3 linked regions of the Sus scrofa genome follow. The protein of the gene in region 3 interacts with the protein of the main gene of each other region in a pairwise test. Links are inferred from orthologs where the notes say so. Each region holds a gene or a part of one and is shown on either strand. Other genes may lie near its edges. The genes, in order: NEK6, ERH and FAM208B.

Region 1 (4,088 bases), on a different chromosome or scaffold from region 3:
AGTGAAGAACCTCAACTCTGCAATCAGAGATGTGAGTTTTGATGGTGATTTGGCCATCAGCCAGTGTGGGACCCCGCCCAAGTTACTGTAAGCTTCATCTTCTTCTCTGTAAGATCAGGATAACAATCCTGGACCTTCGCAGGGTGCCAGACACCTGGGACACAGCCACGGTGGCTTTCCCGGTGCAGTGGGAAGACTATAGGCTCTGCTCAGTCAAGCCTGGGTTCAAATCCAAGGTCAAGTAACGGCCTATCAGCACATGATCTTCAGCATTTTATTCAATCTCTGTACCCTGGTTCCGTCCTCTGTAAAATAGGCATCATGATCGCTCCCATCTCTTGGTGTCGGTGAGTGGAGTGAATGAAACAGGCACTTAAAGCTTTTGGGGGTGTGCCTGGCACATGTTATACCCTCAGACAGTGGTGGCCGTGAACCATCAGTTGATAAAATTATGGACATCGTCTCATCTCTGGGCCTCAGTTTTCTCATCTGTGAAATGGAGATAATAACATCCGCCTCACAGTGAAAATTAAATGAGTGTGCTATGTTAAAACACTCGGAGGTGGGTCCGTGCACCTTCAGAAGGCAAATCCTGGTGCAAGGAAAAGGGGCTAGGTGTGAAGTCAGGCAGGTGACAGGGCTCCGCCTCCACTTCCTCAGCGGTCCCAGGACACGGTTCGCCTGCTCTGAGCCCTAATTTCCTTGTGCATATAAAACCAAAAGCCAGTCTCGACAGCCTGACTTCTGGGAACAGCGTGGCGCCCAGGACAGTGCCCGGCCCCAGTGGGGACTTCATAAATGTGACTTCCCTTCCCCGCTCCCTGGCTCCTTCCTCGCTTGAAGCCTCCAGAAGTGCCATCTGGCAAAGCCAGGAGCTCATTCGCTCGAAACCTGCGTGGCCCTATCCCCAGACCAACCTGAGCTGCTGCTTCAGTCTGAGACTTTATTTGGTGGCAGCAGAAACTACTTTTTAGTCATTTCCGAAGCAGACGGGACGGCAGAGGCTGACAAACCACAGGGACCATTTTAAATCCTGGGCCTTTCTTCTGGGAAGTTAGGCAAGAACCTTCCCAAATGTTTGCCCGTGGGGCTCTCTGCCAGGGAGTGACTCATTCATGGCTCCCCGCAGGCATATTTTATTTGGGGGTGGGGGATTGAGGGAGGAGGGCCTGGCCTTGCTGGGGGAAGGGAGGCAGCATTTCCAGCACACCCAGAGGTGGGTTTGGGGTTTTTTTTCCTTTCATTTTTTTTTAGGACCCCAAAGAAAAAGAACATGGGGCTTTTTTGTTTCCTTCCAGCTTTTGTTTGCGAAACGAAGACATCCAAAGTTCACTCCGTAAACTGCAGGGCGTTGGGAACAGGCGCTTCCAGCCGGCTCTGCATCCCTTTCAATGAAATTCTTCTTCCATTAACGCCACGGTTTTTAAATGTGCCTCCAAGGTTCGCCTGCGCACACACTGAGCTCCTAAGACGACATGTTCCCCTCAGAAAGGCAGGTTGAATTTTGACAATCCAGAGGAACTAGGGCGCTCCAGAGTTTCTAAAGTTTGCCTTAAAGCAATTAAGACTTTCGACTGCAGAGATTTCCAACATTTATAAAGCACACACACCAAAAAAAAACCTGTCAGTCAAAACTGCAAGGACAGACCCTGGAAAACAGTGTCCCAAGCCTGCTGTGATCAATTTACTGTCTTGGGGGCTCATACTTGGTGCTCAGGCTTGATACAAAGAATCAGATGAGTATCTATCTACTCTGCAAGGCAGGCAGAGAGAGACCCCTAGATAATACAGCCAAGTGTCTCTGGGCCCCTGGTCTCCCCAGGGTCAGCCACACCCCAGGCCTGGGGAAAGGGTTAAAATTCACCAGGGCCAGAAAGGGGCAAGAACAAAGCCAGGAGACCCAGAAGAGTATTTAGGAAAATGAATCCAAGTCCTCCAGGGCCAAGCTAAGCAGCTCCACCAGGCCCACCACAGCCCCACGGAGGGGCCTGCCAGTGGCCCTACCCAGGCCCCGCTGGGCTCTGCAATGTGACCTCTGGCCTCTCCTTCACCAAACAAGGCCCAGCACCCACTGGGTGCTCAGGCCGGGCCTGCTTCTCCACCAGCTCATCACACAGTAAGCCTGGGGGGCGCAAAGGGGACCCTCAGCCCCCAGAGTAAACATACTTGAACACTCCTGTACACAAAGTACACGCTCACAGCCACATGTGCACACTTTTGTCCTCATGGGCTCCTAAGTCCGCACACAAATCACTTGTGGGCACTCACTCGTGTGTGTGCGCACACATAGCCCCAGAACCCACACGTTCTCCGTCACAAAAATGAGATCCCACAAGAAGCATTTGGCACATAGTAAACACTCAATAAATGGACAAATGGCAGCCATGCCCACTCGCCCCGCACTCATTCACACCAAACCCCACGATCACAACGCTCCCATGTGCACACGCACCAACTCGGCCACAGGCACGCGCACACTCCTGCGAACACACCCGGAGGGACAGATGGACACGCCGCCCACGCACGCTCCGACGCACGGCCCGGGACACACTCAAGGCTCACGCGCGCCCCGACCTCCCGCGTGCACACCCGCCAGCTCTCCCCCGCGGAGCCTCGGGCGCGCGCGCGGGCGCGCGCACCCCCCTGCTCGGCCCGGGTGTGGGTGACTGCCCCGCCGCCCGGCCCCCGCCCCTTTCCCGGCCCGCGCCGGTCCGATCCGGCCGGGCCCCGGCCCCAGGTCACTCACCGGCTCGCAGGCGGGCTCGGCTGCGGGCTGAAGGACCCGCGCACGGACCGGCGGGCGGCCGGCAGGAGCAGTGGGTCCCACACGAGTTGGCGGCGCCGCGGCCGCACGCTGGTCCGCTGGGTTCCGCCGCCGCCTGCGCGGGCCCGCGTGCGCGCTCCCGCCCTCCCCGCCGCGGGGCCGCGCCGCCCCCTGCGCTCGTGCGCGCTGCCGCCACGCAGGCTCGGGGGGCGACGGGGCGGCGCCCTCTCCACGCGCGGATCTCCCACTCTCCCAAGCCCGCTTAGCTGAGGACCCCCTCCCCATTTTCAAGCTGGGGAAACTGAGGCCCAGACTCACCCAGCGAGTCAGGCCTAACATGTCTCCTTCTCAAGCTCTAGACATTTAGGATTAGCGTCTGCAGCCAGTCAACCCCCCTGGACCCCTGCCACGCCTCTTTGGGTACCCTTCCCCCGACATTGCTCCCACCATAGCCCTGGTCATGTGGATCTCGGCTCATCAACAAGCACTTATTTTGCGCCTGCTGAATGAGCCGCTGAAATAAGCTCCAAGGGTATCTCGATGTGTGAAGGTGCTGGTCCCTGCTCTCAGGGGCCAACGTCTCTTGTCTGGAGCTCCCCAATTCCTGTGAACCCCAAGACCGGTAAGTGTCAGTGTGCAGACGTTTCTGGAAGAAGATTCTACTGAGGAATGCTTATCACCCCCTCTAAGGAGACAGAGTCCACATGGGGGCCCAAAGGCAGCAGCTCAGTTCCCTGCTTCACTTCCTAGAAGGGCCCCCACCCCCCAAAAAAGGGGACCCTCCTGGCTCAGACAGTTATTGCATCCACACTTGCTGATGCTTCTCCTCACGTGCAAAACTGTGCTGTGTCCCCAAGGAGGGCAGGAACCAGAGACTGACGCTGACTGCCTGCCAGCTGCCCAGCTTGGTCAGGGCACGGTCCTGGGCACAGGGGGATGCCCACTGGGCCTTGTTTGCCCAGTGAGTGACCATGTTTCAAGTGGCTGTGATCTATGACAATAACGACACCAACTGAACACCCACTGTGTGCCAGACTCATGGCTGCACACTCTGCCTGGCTGGTGCCATTCGGTCCCACAGCCATTCTATGAAGAAGGCTTTAAGCTGCTTTTGAGCCCATTTTGCAGATGGGGTAAACGAGGCCTAGAAACGATGCTTAGAAAAGCAAAGTCTCTTGCCCAAAGGCACCCAGCTGGTAAGTGGTCGAGCTAGCAGTTGGACCACAGATTGTCTGATTCCAGTGTCTATGTCCCTAATCTAGATGGTGAACAGATCAGCTCTGTGCTGCTGATATAAGGAGGGGCCGACTGCTGATATAAGAGG
Region 2 (4,336 bases), on a different chromosome or scaffold from region 3:
TTTATAGCAAGCTGGAATCTTGATTCTTTGGAACTTCTGAGTATCAAAAGAATGCTATGGTGCCTCTCTCCCAGAAAATGCACAGAGCCTCAAATTTTTGTATTCAATTTCAGGGCGTTCAGAGTATTCCAGGATCTTCAGTGGATCCACCCACCTCTGGTTAAAGAACACTAGTGCTGAATGTGAGGTTGTTATTAAATATCACGCATCTTTGGAGAGATATATAAAACCTTCAGCTCTAATATCAACAGGGGAAGCAGCTTCCCTTTACAACTATGACTACTTCCTAGCAGCCATGCTGACAGCTGACAGAAAATTGAGAATTTCTTACCTCTGAGAAATTAACAGCCAAAGGAATGATTCCAGCCACGTAACATCCCACCAACATAGCCAGAGACAGCAGACTAATAGAGATGAAATCATCCATTCTGCCCTCCTTTATTCACTCACCACCACCAGAGTACAAATTTTCGGTGGTCTCAAAGGGTACTTAGGTTCTTAAACGCGTGTGGTTGTTTCAGCAGAACAAGTAGACTTCCCAGTTCTTTTGTCCTCCCCACCAGCAGATATGTTCACGAGGCACTGTTCTCTTGAAGGTACCTGGAAACACTCCCTTTTTGTTGATACTAGCACCAGAGAGAACTTTGAGCAATCTTAGGTCGCAGCCCCTAAGTTTTCAGATATCAGTCACTGGATTCTCGTGGGTTAACAGATGAGAAAAGTCCAGGGGGAAAATATGCGAATGAGCGAGTTATTCAATCATTGTTATAAGGGTAGCATAACAGGCCTACTTCCTCCACAACGTTCCGGGCGGCAGCAACAAAAGGAAAAATCCAAGCGAAGATGTTTGTTCTCCGGGCGCCCCTATCTCCCTGGAGCAGCCCCGCCGGTGATTCCTCCAGGTCTGGGACCAGCCCACCAATCCCAGCAAACTCCTCTCCGAGTCTAGGATGAGGAAAGGAGTCCTGCAGGTCTCTAACGATTGGTCGTAGGGGCTCAGCAGGGAAGCTGATACAAAGCTGTCTCTGCCCTATACCCAGTGCTACCCATGTTACTCCACTCTGCTGGGCCTTGACCCGGAGCCACCAGTACTACAGCTGCCATGGCCGCCAAGTGGCATCTCTTCTTTACATCCACTTCCGGATTGCCTTACTGCCCCCTCCTTTAGAAGGGTACTTCCGGGTTGCAACCGACCTATGCCCCGGGATTCTTATATTGCCGCCATTTTTGAGTAGGGCCATTGAAAAAATGACTTGTGTAACTGTTTAAACCGATGATCACTGTAGCCTCATGTCTTACAGCGAAAGCGAGGAAGACAGATTCTTGGAAAGAAATATGATTTTTTTTAAGTTCCGATACATTCTCTCTATGTCTCGTCGCCCTTATTCAAAATGGCTGAAACAGAGTCAACATCTGCTCTAGCTGCCGGAAATAAAGGAGCCTCTATGGTTCAAAAGGTTCTTTCGCGGTGCCCTTCTGACGACTTCCGGCGGCTCCTCTCGCGGGGATTGGCTGTTGGCGGCGTTGCGGCTAAGCTCGTGTGCTGCAGCAGTGTCGGCAGCGGCTGCAGGAAAAGGGATCGGCGCGATGGTGAGAAAGGCCTAAGCGGCTCCCCGAGCCCCCAACCTCTGGGGCGACCCCTGCTCGTACATCTTCTCCCAACGCGGTCTAGCGCGCGCATGCTATTGCTCGGCTCTCCAGCCTGTAGATCGATCCTTCCCCTTCCCGCCGCGGAAACGCTGGGCCTGGCACTAGGCCGCTGAGCCCCGGTCCGCCCTGCGGTTGCGCGCCAGCCTGATGGCTCCGGCAAGGCGTGCGGTGCGGAGGATGCGCTTTCTCCCTATTGCTGCTTGGTAGAACCCGGCGTTGGGATGCTGACCTGTCTCTGCAAACGCTCTATCTTACTGTAGGAACAATGGGCGAGAGATGTCTGACAATCCTGTCTCTCCCCAAGCTTACAGCACCCAAAGTGTGGGCCAGGAGGAATCGTCTTTGCAGCGTGCTCAGCTATTCCCTTTGTTTTCTGTGCTCTGCCTTTTTGAAAATACGTGCAACCTTTTCTCTTTTCTGAGATGTACATGCTTGGTTTTGTGCTTCCCTTAGCCTTCAATCCTCTTTTTATCCTTATTTATATTCTTTGGGGCTGGAAGTTGAAAAGATAGGTTGAGCTGAGGGTCCAGGTTGCTTAGAACCTGGGTCGGTAGTGTAGTGGATGGGGGCGGGGGGTGTTGTTTGGTCGGTTTTGTTTTTTTGGGGTTTTCTTTTGCTTATGTGTGTGTGTTTTGTAATTCACAAAAAGGAAATGCTCTCAGGGATTCTGAAGAATCATGATTACTTCCATACTTTAGTTTTCGTTTTCAGTTTGCCACAGTTATTAACAGATTATGCATCTGTTATTAACAAGGAACTTTTTCATGTACTTCTCTGAATGGAGATACTTCAGTGTTTGACCCAACATAGTCTCCCAAGGAGGACTAGGAATTAGAAGACTGGGTTTTCAATTCTTGGTTTATTATAAATAATAATGTGACCTTGGGTATGTCATTTCATCTCAGTGAGTTTCCTTCCTTTTATGTCACTGTTTGGTCAGTTGTGTTAAAATACTTAGATTAAATCTGAGAAAAAGACAGCAGTTAGTAACAACCCATTCGCATTGAGCAGATATCTATGATTAGTTCTTTAATTCCGAGTAGAATTAAAAACTGGAGTTTGTATTTAAAGTCAACAGTTACTGGTTCAGAAGTCTTAAATTTTGTTGCCCTTACTGAACAACTTTAGTTTCTTTTTCTTCTCTCTGCCCCCATCTTTTTTCTTTTTTGATAGTTTGGGCGAAGCAATTAGTATCCATGAGGACTCAGGTTTGATCCCTGGCCTCGCTCAGTGGGTTAAGGATCCCGTATTGCTGTGAGCTGTGGTGTAGGTCACAGATGTGGCTCAGATCCTGAGTTGCTGTGGCTGCGGCGTAGGCCAGCAGCTACAGCTCTGATTTGAAGCCTAGCCTGGGAACTTCCATGTGCTGCACTTGCAGTCCTAAACAGACTAAATAAATAAATAAATAAATAAAGATAAAAGTACATCAACCCTCACCCCTTAAGGTGAGTCATCTCCAAGATGAATAATTTAATGGATTTTCTAAGGTGATGTTATATTAATTTTTATTTATTTATTTGTTTTAATTTTCCTTTTTAGAGCCATACCTGCAGCATATTCAAGTTCTTAGGCCTAGGGGTCGAATTGGAGCTACAACTGCCGGCCACAGCATTCAGGATCCAAGCCTGTCTGTGACCTACACCACAGCTCACGATGCAGGATCCTTAACCCACTGAGCAAGGCCAGGGATCTAACCACAACCTCATGCTTCCTAATTGGATTTGTTTCTGCTGCACCACGACAAGGAGTTTTTATTAGGGACTTAATACAGCTAGAGATAGAAAGAGACCAGTGGAGATAGAAAACCTAAGTAAGTTTTCAATCCAGCTGGGAAGAAAGATGCAAAAGAAAAAAAATAAACAGTACAAGGTAGCTAATGCTGAATACTTACAGACAGTAAGTGTAATAACAGTTTGAGAAAACAACCATTAAGAGTAAGAGACCTTGCAGAGGAGTTGTGAATCCAGCTTAATAACCAATGATCATTTGTGTCATGTTGCAGATTTTATCTCATACTAAGAATTTCTCAAGTATAAGTTAGAAACTTACATTAAAATCACTTTTCCCCCTGCAGTCTCACACCATTTTGCTGGTACAGCCTACCAAGAGGCCAGAAGGCAGAACTTATGCTGACTATGAATCTGTAAATGAATGCATGGAAGGTGAGTCTCATTTAGGACCTAGGTTTGTTTTTTCCTCCAGATTTCTTGAGGTGTTAATTCGAGCAGGGAAAGTAGATATTTAGGACCATGTTTGTTGAATACTTGAAATATTAATTATGCATGCTGTCTTATCAAGCTCTTGTATATAATGAATGTCTTTCCCAAGCCTCTGATTGTTCTGTAAAATTCTGTTATGTATTGTTATTTTGTTGTATTATGGAAGTATTTTACAGCTATCACTTATATATTCTGGATAAACTAAGCACTATAAAGTTGTTAAGGCAGGCAGGAGTGCCTACAGAACCAAATCTGCTTATAAGCAAATAAACATAGTTAAAAGCTGATTACAGTCCATAAGAATGTTGTTAGGAAATAATTAGCTCAGTGAATAAAGGCAAGTAGAACCTAATCAGTATAATTTATTGTGTATTTGATAAGATGGCACCACCCTGAAGGGAAGTATTAGCCTTCAATAAACTTTTCAGATGAGATCACATAAATTGGATCATCACAAATTGGATTAA
Region 3 (2,842 bases):
TCTTCATCCAACTCCTTCCCCCCTCTGTTCTCCTGACACACCTGGCTCCCCAGGCATCGCTGTCAGGGTCCCCCCAAACAGCCCCCGTGTCCTCCCGCCTCTTGCAGACGCAGGTGTTTAAAACGTGGGGGCCTCGTTCCACCAGGAGGGACACGCGGGTGGCCTGGTGGGCCTCCGCTGATCCCCGAGGCCCTCTGCCTGCATCCCTCAGACCTGCAGCGGTTGCTCCCAAAGCACTCAGGTCCCTCCAAACCTAATTCTCTCCAGTCAGCGGGTCGCCAACTTCACCAACATCAGGCAACAGCTGGAATTTCCTTAATTTTTCTCACTTAATTTTTTTTGGTCTTTTTGCCATTTCTTGGGCCACTCCCGCAGCATAGGGAGGTTCCCAGGCCAGGGGTCGAATCGGAGCTGTAGCTGCCAGCCTCCGCCAGAGCCACAGCAACGCGGGCTCCGAGCCGCGTCTGCCACCTACACCACAGCTCACGGCAACGCCAGATCCTTCACCCACTGAGCGGGGCCAGGGATTGAACCCACAACCTCCTGGTTCCTAGTCGGATTCGTTAGCTACTGCGCCACGACAGGAACGCCTCACTTCACTTTAAATCGTGTTTCTACCTTCTGTGCTTCTGGAGGAAACGGGTCCATCTCTCCAGCCCCCTCCCTCGCTCGCACACGGTCCTGCTCGCTCGCGGGGAGGCCCCCGGCCACCTGCTCCCGCAGCTCTAATGACGACCTGTCAAGGAACCTGCTTGCAGGCTTCATCCTCAGCAGGTGTAAACTTCCATCACTGACACCACACTGTACCTGGTTGTGTTCTGTTTTTGTCTTTTTGCTTTTTCGGGCTGCACTCACGGCTTGTGGAGGTTCCCAGGCGAGGGGTCAAAATGGAGCGGCAGCTGCCGGCCTACACCACAGCCACAGCAATGCCAGATCCGAGCCGCATCTGTGACCCACACCCCAGCTCACGGCAGCGCCGGATCCTTCACCCGCTGAGAGGGGCCAGGGATCGAACCTCATGGATCCTAGTGGGTTTGTTACAGCTGAGCCAGAAGAACGCCCTGCCCTGTACCTGGTTTTAAGGTGCCCACTCTGACGCCCACCCGTCCAGCGCCCCAGCCCTCTCCCCTCGCCCTGGTCTCCGCGGTAGGAGCCTCGCTGTCTCCCGCCCCCCCTGCCACCTTCCCTCTCGCAGCTCCCACCGTCAGAGCCCAGCTCTCCACAGGCCCAGGCCTGGCTTCCAGGGGGCGGCGGCGCCGTGGGGGAAGCAGAAGGAACGTGTCAGCCAGAGACGAAGCCTCCCGACCTGCCGGTCAGGGGTCAGCTCTGCCGGCCTCTCTGCCTCCATCCCATGGCGTTAAAGTGGGTCTGTGTCTTCCTCCCCCGCGGGGACTTGCAACAGTCACGTGACAGACGCCTGTCACGTCGACGGAGCCCCTGGATGCCAGACTCTTTCTTACAAGCTGCAGGCACGTCCCTGACACCCAAGGGCCACCCACGGGCCCCGGATCTCTTCTTTTAAGGAGACGGGCCTGAGATAAAATGAAGGCTACAGCCTGGTCTCAACCTGCCTGTCCTTGTAAGTGTGGCAACGTAAGAGATCAAGAAACATGTCCAGGAGTTCCCGTCGTGGCGCAGTGGTTAACGAATCCGACTAGGAACCATGAGGTTGCGGTTCCGTCCCTGCCCTTGCTCAGTGGGTTAAGGATCCGGCGTTGCCGTGAGCTGTGGTGTAGGTTGCAGACGCGGCTCGGAACCCGCGTTGCTGTGGCTCTGGCGTAAGCCGGTGGCTACAGCTCCGATTAGACCCCTAGCCTGGGAACCTCCATATGCCGCGGGAGCGGCCCAAGAAATAGCAAAAAGACAAAAATAAATAAATAAATAAACATTAAAAAAAAGAAGAAAAAGAAACATGTCCAGAAGCAGCCCGCAGTTCAGTCTGCTCACTGCAGGGAGCAGAGCCTGAGCCCAACCACGGGGACCCCGCCGGGGGCCGTGTCGGGAGGCTCTGCGCTGCTGTCTAGGGAGGGCTCCTGCCTCGGCAGCAACACGGCCCTTCCCTCAGCCCTTCCCTCGCCGAGAGCCCCGCTGGCCAAACACTCCGAGGAGCAGCCACGGGCCCAGGCGCCGCCTTCGGCGACCCGCCGGCCCAGAGCGTGTCCGGGGGACCGGGGCTGGCCACCCACCCCCGGCCTCACCTTCCCCAAAGTGCTCACCTCACATCTTCTTTTAGCTTTTTAATCTCCCGGTAGTGAAGCAGCCACTTCCACCTGCCGCTGGCATTCAGTTTCTCGAGGATTCTGACAATCTCCTTCAGCTGAACTACAGAAGAGAGGAAGTTTGACGAGAGAAGATCTATGTTAGAATTTGCGGCTTGTCTGGTCAAAGCTCAGTGAGGACGCCTTGTGTTTGCAGCAACACCAGGTTCTTAACCCACTGAGCGAGGCCAGGGATGGAACCCGCATCCTCGCGGACACCGTGCCAGGTTCTTAACCCCATGATACGGACACGACCGTCGGGGCGACGGCAACAGAAATGGAGGAACGAGGGCCGATTCCAAACAGACATGGAGTGGACGTGATTGGGCGAAGGAGGAAACTGCTCATCTCACAACCGCCCGTGTGCCCGCACAGGAGCTCAGCCACAGTGCTGAGAGGTTTGGTGGCGAAGGGCCTGGGTTCAAACAAGAGGTGAGGGGCGCACCCCGGGACGGAGAGCCGCCGAACTAGCGACAGTGCTGAGCACGGCACGGGGCAGCCGTCAAGGCTGCAAGAGCGGTGGCTGGTGCTGTTCGGATGAAGTATCTGGGCCCCTGGAAGGAGAACCTGCTGCGACCAGAGAG

What was found.
Region 1: the proteins of FAM208B (region 3) and NEK6 interact in binary tests that used the Homo sapiens proteins (3 or more experiments, as listed by UniProt). The link is inferred for Sus scrofa from reciprocal best matches to the Homo sapiens genes TASOR2 and NEK6.
Region 2: the proteins of FAM208B (region 3) and ERH interact in binary tests that used the Homo sapiens proteins (3 or more experiments, as listed by UniProt). The two-hybrid records come from large-scale screens. The link is inferred for Sus scrofa from reciprocal best matches to the Homo sapiens genes TASOR2 and ERH.

Annotation. Positions count from the first base shown.
Region 1 is NC_010443.5:265,077,230-265,081,317, reverse strand, and holds the start of NEK6 (serine/threonine-protein kinase Nek6), read right to left. Parts: upstream 2,912-4,088; 5' UTR 2,747-2,911; intron 1-2,746. UniProt on the Homo sapiens protein: Protein kinase which plays an important role in mitotic cell cycle progression. Required for chromosome segregation at metaphase-anaphase transition, robust mitotic spindle formation and cytokinesis.
Region 2 is NC_010449.5:93,081,134-93,085,469, reverse strand, and holds the start of ERH (enhancer of rudimentary homolog), read left to right. Parts: upstream 1-1,519; 5' UTR 1,520-1,587; coding exon 1,588-1,590; intron 1,591-3,724; coding exon 3,725-3,812; intron 3,813-4,336. Other genes in the region: SLC39A9 (zinc transporter ZIP9), read right to left, coding at 332-427. UniProt on the Homo sapiens protein: May have a role in the cell cycle.
Region 3 is NC_010452.4:65,199,727-65,202,568, forward strand, and holds part of FAM208B (protein FAM208B), read right to left. Parts: intron 2,323-2,842; coding exon 2,217-2,322; intron 1-2,216.